Cricetulus griseus: one gene and its partners. The main gene of each other region encodes a partner of the protein of the gene in region 2 in a complex. Links are inferred from orthologs where the notes say so. Each region holds a gene or a part of one and is shown on either strand. Other genes may lie near its edges. The genes, in order: Ddx42, Sf3b1 and Sf3b4.

Region 1 (3,648 bases), on a different chromosome or scaffold from region 2:
CTTTCTTTTCAAACTCTTATTATCTTCCTCACTTGCCTGCTGAACTTTCTTACTTGGCTATGTAATTTCTCTTAATTTCAGGGGCCCACCCCTCACCTGCATTGCAAGGTCTAAGAGTTCCTTGGAAACATGTTGGTTGGCTCCTTCCAGATTCCGGACAAGGTCACCAGCAAAATTACTGTCCTTTGGGGTCAGTAACGTATAGGCCACACCCTTCTCACCCGCTCTTCCTGTTCGGCCAATCCTATGAGTATGGGTATCAATATCTCGTGCTACATCATAGTTAATGACTGTCTTAATTGAAGGAATGTCCAGACCACGGGCTGAAATAAGAAGTATTCAGATTCTTTTACTTTTCACCTACAGTTAAAAGAAAATCAAAGTACCTAGAAATGTTAGTTATAAGAGCATGCATTTTCCTATCTATCCACGAAAGCTCATGGGTATGAAGCCAAAAATAAAGAGTAGTTCACTCTATTGAGAGTAATACACACACACACACACACACACACACACACACACACACACACACACACACACACAGGATAATTTATTGGAATCACACTCTTAATCCCAATACTTGGGAGATGGAGGCAAGAGGCTCTAGAGTTCAATATAGCCTGGGTAATACATAAGAACTTACCTCAAGAAACAAAAACAAAAAATTTACACAAGTTAGCCCTCTAGGGATTCAGTTAGTAGTGCATCTGCATAAGAACTGGAGTTCAGTACCTAGAACCTGTGTGTGTGTGTGTTTATGCATGCACATAACACAGCGTACGTAGAGGGCAAAGAAAACTTGTAGGAGTCAGTTCTCTCCTTCCACTGTATAACTAGCCACGCTGTCAGGATTGGTTGGCAAGTACCCAATGAACCTCCTTGTAGATCCAAAGTATTAGTTTCTTTTTTCTTTTTTCTTCAAGACAGGGTTTCTTTCTGTGTAGTTCTGACTGTCCTGAAGTTGCTCTGTAGACCAGGCTGGCTTTGAACTCAGAGATCCTCCTGCCTCTGGCTCCCTAGTGCTGGGATTAAAGGTATGGGCCACTACTGCCCAGCTAAAAATACTTATTTTTAAGGGTAGCTGCTTAACTCAGCAAATAAAGCCAAAGCTTGAGATTAACGAATGTAAGATAAGCAGCATAGTAGACATAGGACATAGAAGTTTCCCCCGAGCATTCTCTAGCTGCAAGGGTATGTTAATGAAAGAGAACACTAGATGAAAGTGGCCAGAGTTGCTGCTTTATATAGGATACAATGGGAGCATTCCATCTGCCTGACTGGACACTATAGGTCCTATAACAGGGTAGAGTAACACGAATATATTAAAGACTAAGGTTATAGTGAAACTCATACTCTTACCTGCAACATCAGTGGCCACCAGGACAGGGATGTCTTTTTTCTTAAAATCTGAAATGACCTTGTTTCTTTCACTTTGGTCCATGTCCCCATGGAGCAGACCAAGATTATGACCCTCCTGCTTAAGGTTATTGGCTAGCTCTTCAGCATTGGCTTTTTTAGTAACAAACAGGAGGACACTCCCTGAAGAAGTAAACTCTACCAGACGCCGGGTAAGCCAGTTCCATTTACTAGGCCCAGAATGGAGTATCTCCACAATCTGTGTCACATCTTCATTTGCCTGAAAGAAAATAAAATAAGCAGCAATTGTGACACTGGTGCCACAGGGGATTTCACAGACTAGGTATTATATTTTCTACTGCATGGGAATAGCCCTGGACAGTCCCTGATATCTTTGGGTCTTCCTTTAGTATGTCAAATACAGCTTAAAACTTACTATTTTCTCAAAGCACATTGCTCACCAACTCCTCCTGGTATGTTCATATCTAATTTGTAGGCCCCAATTACCTGTAATGATTTTTTATGCTTATTCCTATCATTTCCAGAAGAGTAAACTATCTTTTGTTGTTATTGTTTTTTGTGGTGGTTGTTGTTGTTTTTCAAGACAAGGTTTCTCTGTAGCTTTGAAGCTTTCCTGGAACTTACTCTGTAGAACAGGCTGTCCTTGAACTCACAAGATCCCCCTGCCCCTGTCTCCTGGGAATAAAGTCATGTGTCACCAATGCCCGGCTTGGTCATAGTCTTTATCACAGCAACAGAAACCCTAACCAAGACACATTAGACAACAACTGCCAAAGTAATCTAAGGAATTTTCTTTTTTTCTTTTTACTGTATTTGTGTGCGTATCCATACATGCATACTTCCATGTGTTACGGCACACACATGAAGGTCAGAGAACAACTTCCAGGAATTAGTTCTCACCCTCGACAATGTGGGTCCTGGGGATTGAATTCATTAATAGAGACAAGCACCATTACTGGCTGAGTCATCTACTGGTGCCCAAGGAATTCTCTAAAAACCTTAACTGAATTCCAAATTCCAATTCAGAGAAATTACCACATAAGGACACATGTAGGTAAGCACGAAATCAAACTTATTCTTACCAGGTCCCAAAATTATCTCAGGCCACCCTATGCAGACTGCTTAAACAATCATTTAAGTGTTCCAGTCTAACTAACTTGAGTTTCTTTTAAAACGCAAAAAATGCAGCCAGTGGTTGGGCACACCTTTAATCACAGCACTCAGGAGGCAGAGGCAGGCAGAAGATCTCTGTGAGTTCCAGGCCAGCCTGGTCTACATAGTTCCTGAATTACCAAGACTGTTTCACAGAGAAAACCTGTCTCAAAAAAACTAAAACCAAAACAAAACAACAAAATCTTAAAAAAAAAATTTCAGGTCTGGAAAGATGGCTCAGAGGTTAAGAGCATTGACTGCTCTTCCAGAGGACCTGAGTTCAATTCCCAGCAACCATATGGTGGTTCACAACCATCTGTAATGAGATCCGGCGCCCTCTTCTGGCATGCACTGTATACATGATAAATAAAAATCTTAAAAAAAAAAAAATTCAAAAAACACTGGTAGTGCATGTCTTTAATCCCAGCACTTGGGAAGCAGAGGCAGGCAGGATCTCTGAGTTCGAGGACAGCCAGGGCAGTTACACACAGAAACCCTGTTTTGAAAAAACAAAAATGATTAAACATATAATACCCATATACTTACCACTCAGCTTCCATACAGCAACACTTTGCCACTCCCCTCAACTTGTTTAACTTAAAGCAAATCTAAATCATGTTGCATCATATAAAACATTTTAATTTTTAACTCATTACTGAAGGACAAGGTATGGTGGTGCTTGCCTTTCATTCTAGCACTCACGAGGCAGAGTGTTGATCTACAGGGCTAGTTCCAGGACTACATAGAGAAAGCCCATCTCAAAACAAAAGCAAAGTAACAACAACAAAATCATTACTTAAGAATTAAACTCAAAAAAAAAAAAAAAAAGAAAGAAAGAAAGAAAAGAAAAGAAAAGAAGGAAGGAACTAGGAACTTAAAGCCTGGTCTTTAATCCCACCACTCGGGAGGCAGAGGCAGGCAGATCTCTGTGAATTGGAGGCCAGCCTGGTCTACACAGTTAGTTCCAGGACAGCCTCCAAAGCCACAGAGAAACCCTGTCTTGAAAAACAAAACAAAACAAAACAAAAGAATTAAACTCTTTATGTCCCTATAAAAAATCCCAGGAGCTACCCTGACTTGTGTAATATTACCTCTCCAATGTCTCCCTGCACCACTCGA
Region 2 (3,648 bases):
TGTAACATTTCTCGCAGTTTGGATACAAGGTTAGATACAATGATAAAGTTTGGATTGTATTGTGAAAATTAGGTATTGGTGCCTGCTCACACCTGTGTTTGATTGTATAGGTCTTGTGGATGAACAGCAGAAAGTTCGGACCATCAGTGCTTTGGCCATTGCTGCTTTGGCTGAAGCAGCAACTCCTTACGGTATCGAATCTTTTGATTCTGTGCTCAAACCTCTATGGAAGGGTATCCGCCAACACAGAGGAAAGGTAAACCCACTCAATAGATTTTGGTTTTGTTACTGTTAATTAGGACAAGCTAAACTTAATTTACTGATGTGTGTGTATTTTTATACATTTTATTTTTAAATAGGGTTTAGCCGCTTTCTTAAAGGCCATTGGGTATCTTATTCCTCTTATGGATGCAGAATATGCCAACTACTATACTAGAGAAGTGATGTTAATCCTTATTCGAGAATTCCAGTCTCCAGATGAAGAAATGAAGAAAATTGTATTGAAGGTAATTAGTTGTTCCAGCTTATGGGTACATGTTTGTTTTCATAATGTGTATGTTTTGGAAGTTTAAAGGGGCCTTTATAATATTAAAAAACCACAAACTTACGTTGTGTTCTGTCAGTGTTACGTTTATTTTTTACCTTTTAGGTAGTGAAACAGTGCTGTGGAACAGATGGTGTAGAAGCAAACTACATTAAAACAGAGATTCTTCCTCCTTTCTTTAAACACTTCTGGCAACACAGAATGGCTTTGGATAGAAGAAATTATCGACAGGTAACCTTTTATTAAAGTTTGAGTCTCAAAAATCTTTGACTAGTTTTCTACTTACCTAGAATGCATATTACATACTATAATTTGCTTTGACTATCTGAAAATTTATATGTGCTTTATTTACTGTGACAGGAGATAGACTTTTTAAGCCCATTCATTCATTCATTCATTCATTCATTCATTCATTCATTATTCTTTTTTGAGGCCGTGTAGCCTGGAAATTGCTATGTAGACCTCAAACTCCCCAGATCCATCTGCTTCTTATAAGTGCTGAGATTAAAGGTGTGCTCTACTATGCCTGGCTGCTTTTTTGCCTTTTTAAATTTTTTTTTTTCTGAAAAACATGCATTTAATGTAAAATTCCCATGAAACTAGTGCATTTAAAATTTTTAAATGTTTATTTTTCATGTGTGTGGTATGGGTGTTTTGTCAATGTGTATATCTCTGCATCATTTGGTGTGTCTCAGGCCTTCAGAGGTCAGGTCATTGGATCTCCTGCTGTTGGAGTTACAGACAGCCTGAGCCAGATGTCTCCTGATATTGGAATTATAGACATTTGTAAACTACTTTGTGGGTGTTGGGTCTTCTGGAAGAAAAACCAGTACTCTTAAGTGCTGAGGTCTTTCTCAGCCCAGTGCCCAGGGCATTAACAAAGACATGCACCCTGTCTCCCTCAGCTTGTACTTGTGTTTAAATTACATTTAGTCATGGTGTGTGCATGTCCTCCAGTGCATGCATGTTGTGGAGTAAAAGGGCAGCTGGCTGGAGTCCCCTCTTTGAGTTGGATTATGGGGATCAAACTCATTGTCAGGTGTGACAGCAAGTTGAACCCTCTCTACATCCCATTTTTTCCTTTTGAGACAAAATTTCACTTTGCAGCATAGGCTGGTTTCACTCATATTCTTGGTCCTTCTGCCTCAGCCTCCCAGCTCACCAGTAATAAACTATGAGCCAATGTTTTTGTCTGGTAGATTGAGGATTTCTCCATTTTGCTGAGACACAAGTATAATTTTCTTAAGAGTTATTTTTGTTTTGGAGATAGAATCTCATGTTTCTTAGGCTGGCCTGGACCTTGCTAAATAGCCAGACTGGCATTGAACTTCGAAGGTCTGCCTCAGCTTTTTGAGTGCTAGGATTCTAAGCAGGAGCCACCCACCATGTTCTGACTGCTCTGACTGTGAAAGTTGGAAAAGTAATAGATTTAAAAGGGTTTTGTGTTTGTCTTTTTAGTTAGTTGATACGACTGTGGAGTTGGCAAACAAAGTAGGAGCAGCAGAAATTATATCTAGGATTGTGGATGATCTGAAAGATGAAGCTGAACAGTACAGGAAAATGGTGATGGAAACAATTGAGAAAATTATGGGCAACCTAGGTGCAGCAGATATTGATCATAAACTTGAAGAACAATTGATTGATGGTATTCTGTATGCTTTCCAAGAACAGACTACAGAGGTAATGGCAACTAATCATTTATTTCTAGTTTCTACATTTTATTTTGTGTGCATGTGTGTGGGTGAAAATTAGAGGCAGCTTTCCGGAATCAGTTCTCTCTTTCCACCATGTGTTCCCTTGGAGTCAGGCTTGGGGGCAGCCATCACGATGGTCATCATAGCTAACTATTGTGCCACATTGCAGTTGACTCTTGCATATGTAGAAAACTTACTTTAAAAGCAGGTATCACTTAAAAGTAATTTAAGTTTTAGCATTTTCAGTACCAGTTTCTTTTACCTCAGATTTTTGGATTTGATTTAAAAACAACAGCATGTTTGGGTGGTTGGTAAAGATTGAATGTTATTTAATCAACTTTCAGTTAAAACTAAATTTTGTATTTTTAGTGATTTTTGTTTTTTAAATATTGTAACTTAGCTTTTCTCTTTTAGGATTCTGTAATGTTGAATGGCTTTGGCACAGTAGTTAATGCTCTTGGCAAACGAGTCAAACCATACTTGCCTCAGATCTGTGGTACAGTTTTGTGGCGTTTAAATAACAAGTCAGCAAAAGTTCGACAACAAGCAGCCGACTTGATTTCCAGAACTGCTGTTGTTATGAAGACTTGTCAAGAGGTAATCTATTCTACCAGGTTTATACATACATACATACATACATACATACATACATACATACATACATACATACAGCAGGTTTAATTTGTTTAATGGAGAAAATATTGTTTTAAATCATTCTTTCATTACAGGAAAAACTGATGGGGCACTTGGGTGTGGTACTGTATGAATATTTGGGTGAAGAATACCCTGAAGTATTGGGCAGCATTCTTGGAGCACTGAAGGCTATTGTAAATGTAATAGGTATGTGATTGCCTGACTGACTATGTTTAGATTTGGCTTTGTCATTTTCTTTGTATTTTGAAAGTAAAATATAAAGTCGTATTTAGGATTTTTTTTTTTTAAACACTTCAGGGTTGTCAGAGAATGTCATAAAAGTCCCTGTTGTCCATTTGTATTTTACTTGAAAACCTTAAAGGGGAAATTTAGGATATACTAGGTATGGAAATGGTTACTGGGAGAGAGGACCCTTCTAGAACTAGTGCATCAATTAGAAAAGTAATCCAGAATCTTCTGGAAGGGGAGGAGCAACCCTGAGGTTGTGATTTAATTTTAGAAATGTTCTTTATCTACTCAGACTTCTATGTTAAAGTATTTTGATAGGTTATTAGGATTTTTTGTTTGCTGTGAGTTCAAAGAAGAGGACAGCAAACTAGCCTGTCTTTTCACCATAAGTAAAGACACATCTATGTAACCATCTTGGGTATGGAGAGAGAACTTTTTATTTTTATTTTTTTTCAGGAAGTAATGAATGCAAAAACAAAGGCAATCCTGTGTTTAAAATCTCTTGTAGCTGGACAGTGGTGGCATATG
Region 3 (3,748 bases), on a different chromosome or scaffold from region 2:
GAGACAGAGGCAGGCAGATCTCTGAGTTCAGGGCCAGCCTGGTCTACAGAATGAGTTGCAGGACAGTCAGGATCCTACACAGAGAGACCTTATCCCTAAAACAAAACAACAACAAAAAAAAATAAGCAAAAATGTCGCCTAGATCTGGCAACTGAGCTCCTTCCTGGGAATCAGAGGAGAGGCTGAGAGTAAAAACAGTAAGAACAGGCTATTCTGCAGAAAAAGGAAAAACCAGAGACAAGACGGGAGGGAGCTGAAGTACACACAGAAGTATTTTCTGAAGGAAAGGGAGACTCTAGACTATTTCCACCCAAGACAAAGAGCAGTGACAGAATCACTCTCACAAGCTCATCTCCGTTTCCCAGCAGACCACTTACCTGGATGGGGCATCCCACCTGGTGGGAATGGGTGAGGATGTGAGTGTCCGTGACCAGGATGCCCAGCTCCTGGAGTTCCTGCTGCTGGGGGGCCATGTCCTCCAGCCCCAGGTGGCATAGGTGGTGGGGGCATGGCTGGGGGTATCCCAGGAGGGAGGGCTCCAGGTGGCGGCACTGGAGGTGGGAAGGAGCCAGGAGGAGGCATGCCTATACAAGAAACGAGAGTCTATCTTGTGAAGAAAGAAAGACTGTCTTACAGAGCTCTAGCTTCCTTCCAGCACACTAAACTCCAGTCTCCCAAAGAAACCCAACATCTGCATCCCTTCCACCAGCACTCCTCATCCCTTTCTCGCTGCCCGCTGAGTTAACAGCTTACTCCCTCAGGGTTTCTTCTGCCTTCTGACCCTCCCTCCCAAGGGCCTCTCACTGGTGTAGTTTGAACTAAAAGCTTTACCTGGTGGAGGAAGCCCAGAACCCAGGGATGAAACCACAGGATTGGGGGCAGAGGGTGGAGGGGGTGCATCTGCGAACAGCTGGTGAGGACGGTCAGCCTGGGACAGCGGGTTCTGGGCTGCCAGAAGTCGTTCAGCTGCTGAGCCATGGCGCTCGCCTTTAGAGTCCTTCTTGAAGGCGTAAGACACAGTGATGGGTCTGTTACACAGGTACTGCCCATTCATGGCCTCAATTGCTGCATCCGAAGCATCAAAGGAGGCAAAATTAATGAAGGCATAACCCTTAGAGTTGCCTGTGTCAGGGTCCCGCATAATCTTGGGGGTTTGTAAGATGACCCCAAAGGCGCTGAAAGTATCATAAAGCAGCTTCTCATCGATTTCTGGGTCCAGGTTCCCAATGAAAATGTTGGCCCCTACATCCAGGTTTTTGTTGTGAGCTGAAGCCTTGTTCACCCGTATGGGCTTCCCATAGAGTTTGATCATGTTCATAATTTTAATAGCATAGTCAGCATCTTCCTCACTCAAGAATTCAACGAAGCCATAGCCTGGGGAATTGAAGAAAAGACTACTCAGATGAAGAGATTCAAAACGACACACTAACTCACCAGCCTCCAAACAAAGAACAAGTTGGAAGAATCCCAACTTCAAACTAAAGCTAAGAGACTACTCCTGAAACAAACTGCCAACTGAAGCTTAGAGAAAGAAACCATTCCAAAATAGCTGTGACTAGTGTTGAGATGCTTCAGGGGCCGCTAACCCAAAGTAAAGTCATTTCTTGCCGTAAATACTCACCTTGGTGCTGGCCAGTGACTCTATCCTTTGGCATGTGGGTGTTGACCACCGGCCCTGCCTGGAGAAAGAGCTCCCACAGCAGTGGTTCGCTCACTTTCTCGTCTAGACCGCCCACGTACACCGTGGCATCTAAAGCAAGAAAGCAGAAGGTAAGGACGAGGTCACGAGTTAAAAGGAAAACAGAAATTTAAAAAAAAAGTAACTAAAACCCTGAGATCACCCTTTGCCTGCCTAGTATAAAAAAACCCGCTCAAGTCTAATGTGGCGTTCTTGCGGATTGTGTACTTCCCGGTGGAGTTTCAATGATGCGCTTGGTAGCAGCGGGAGTGCCTACGGGAACCGGATCCAGAGGCATCACCCTCACAGGCCTCGGCCTCAACCCGGCCCCCAGGCCCAGCCCCCAGACGCGGGCCTTCCCGGGGAAACCTAGTTTCCCACGCTGGCGCTAACGCTTCTAGCACTCATCTGCCCTCCACCTCCCTGGGCCCACCTTGGGCTCTTCTCCCCCAATTACCCTGATTCCGTTCGGAGATGGGCCCGGCAGCCATGGCGAAGAGGCTCCCGCCGTCTCTAAGCGGCAGCACCGCCCTCTGACCTGTTACGACTTCCACTTCCGGGCCAAGGCTCCCATTGGGCGGGGCGGGCGGCAGGGGAGGAGCCGGAAGTGGCCGCGGCCATCTTAGGCGTCTGACGCGTGTCTGGAAAGACGCTGTGGTGGAGCTCTCACGACGCCCGGCTGGCGCCGAGGCGCTCAGGCCCCTCTTGACGACGCGGCTCTCGCCTGTCAGGCAGTCCCGCTGCTCCCCAGCCCAAATTTAAGCCCTAATCTCAGCCTTGTATGTTCTGTGACGCAGAGAAGCGTGCTGGGGGGAGGGAGGGGCGGGCCGGCTGCCTCGGGACGCAGCCTGTTACCTCAGTGCAGACGGAAGTGTCTGAGCCCCACTATTCGTGGGGTCATCTGAGGCACGGTGCCGCGTGTGTTCACGGTCAGTCTCAGCCTCGGGAGCACTCGGCAGCACCGTGCATCCCTCCCCTCCCACAGAAGAGACACTCAGAGAGCCTTCCTCCCGGGCCAGGACAGCCAGGGCTACACAGAGAAACCCTGTCTCAAAAAAAAAAAAAAAAAAAAAAAAAGGGGTTGGTGCTTCTTTCTCCAAATTTCGTCGGAATAGCCCCTCCTGTTTTGGGTCCTTAACTTCTTTTTTATCTATTTGTTTTGTTTCTCGAGACAGGGTTTCCCTGTGGCTTTGGAGGCTGTCCTGGAACTCGCTCTTGTAGACCAGGCTGGCCTCGAACTGGGTCCTTAATTTCTGTATCAATAATCTGGGTGCTTTTCTCTCAGTGCATACCCTCCCCCAACCACTTTACCGAGATCTTCATTCAACACAAGAAACAATACCAGCAATGTGTAGAAATACTGTGCTTTAATGAAGTCCTTAAATAGAAATACCACTACAAAAATATACAGTGGGAGGACAGGGTGTCTCCCTTATTTCCCTCATTCCCACAGAAGACTAAGAAACTGGATTTCAAAGCAGTGTGAGGGGTTGAGAATGAAGTCTCTGGGGCATCTTGTTGGAACTGATGAAGTGTCTCTGATCTCACAGTTTTGACAGTTTGTCATCTAAACGGCATGGAATTGCCAGAGAAAAAAAGGAAACGTTCTGAAGTGGTTTTGTTTCTTATTCCAGAGAAACAAAAATAGCTGGAGGTTGGTAGCTCCATGTCTGCTACAGAAACTCACTCACGGAGTGAGCTCCTTTATGGGCTGGAATGTGAAAGCTTGAAACACTGAGGTCAGATACAAAGAAACATGAGCAGAACTCCCTCCACATTCCCTCTGCCCTGCCTTCGAGAATGCTAGCAGTCTCAACGGATCTGAGAGAGGATGGTATTTGGATCTCTCTTCTTGCAGTGATCCTCAGGAGATATTCTTGGTGTCAGTTTTCTTAATAGTTCCTGAAGACAAGAGAGTTCATCCTGGAGGCCAGAGATTGTAAGAGCCGAGGAGCCCATCTGGGGAGGGGAAAACAAGGGCACAAAGGTCTCTCTCTCTTTCTTCCTCCACCCCTGCCCCCTTTCTCCTGGCTCCCTGTCTCTCTCTCTCTCTCTCTCTCTCTCTCTCTC

What was found.
Region 1: the proteins of Sf3b1 (region 2) and Ddx42 are in contact, whole or in part, in a cryo-EM structure (PDB 7EVN), measured with the Homo sapiens proteins. The link is inferred for Cricetulus griseus from reciprocal best matches to the Homo sapiens genes SF3B1 and DDX42. Residues at the interface, in NP_036565.2 of Homo sapiens: Pro509, Pro510, Lys513, Arg517, Thr520, Asp557, Arg558, Tyr561, Lys562, Asp565, Leu566, Arg568, Pro569, Ile583, Ala607, Ile610, Ser611, Arg614, Glu622, Arg625, Asn626, Arg630, Pro646, Phe647, Ala650, Val651, Lys653, Ser654, Lys655, Lys656; in NP_031398.2 of Homo sapiens: Asn68, Glu71, Glu72, Tyr75, Phe76, Glu77, Asp78, Glu79, Glu80, Glu81, Asp114, Pro115, Leu116, Glu117, Phe119, Met120, Val123, Ala127, Asp130, Met131, Arg133, Leu134, Gly146, Ile147, Arg148, Ile151, Glu152, Glu153, Glu154, Asp155.
Region 3: Sf3b1 (region 2) and Sf3b4 share a complex: the UniProt entries of both Homo sapiens proteins name them as parts of the SF3B subcomplex of the 17S U2 SnRNP complex. The link is inferred for Cricetulus griseus from reciprocal best matches to the Homo sapiens genes SF3B1 and SF3B4.

What each region holds. Positions count from the first base shown.
Region 1 is NC_048600.1:119,188,603-119,192,250, reverse strand, and holds part of Ddx42 (ATP-dependent RNA helicase DDX42), read right to left. Parts: coding exon 3,621-3,648; intron 1,637-3,620; coding exon 1,360-1,636; intron 324-1,359; coding exon 97-323; intron 1-96. UniProt on the Homo sapiens protein: ATP-dependent RNA helicase that binds to partially double-stranded RNAs (dsRNAs) in order to unwind RNA secondary structures. Unwinding is promoted in the presence of single-strand binding proteins.
Region 2 is NC_048595.1:409,443,176-409,446,823, reverse strand, and holds part of Sf3b1 (splicing factor 3B subunit 1), read left to right. Parts: intron 1-110; coding exon 111-256; intron 257-359; coding exon 360-506; intron 507-649; coding exon 650-775; intron 776-2,002; coding exon 2,003-2,224; intron 2,225-2,652; coding exon 2,653-2,835; intron 2,836-2,966; coding exon 2,967-3,078; intron 3,079-3,648. UniProt on the Homo sapiens protein: Component of the 17S U2 SnRNP complex of the spliceosome, a large ribonucleoprotein complex that removes introns from transcribed pre-mRNAs.
Region 3 is NW_023276806.1:60,351,403-60,355,150, forward strand, and holds the start of Sf3b4 (splicing factor 3B subunit 4), read right to left. Parts: upstream 2,294-3,748; 5' UTR 2,170-2,293; coding exon 2,136-2,169; intron 1,751-2,135; coding exon 1,622-1,750; intron 1,375-1,621; coding exon 832-1,374; intron 585-831; coding exon 378-584; intron 1-377. UniProt on the Homo sapiens protein: Component of the 17S U2 SnRNP complex of the spliceosome, a large ribonucleoprotein complex that removes introns from transcribed pre-mRNAs.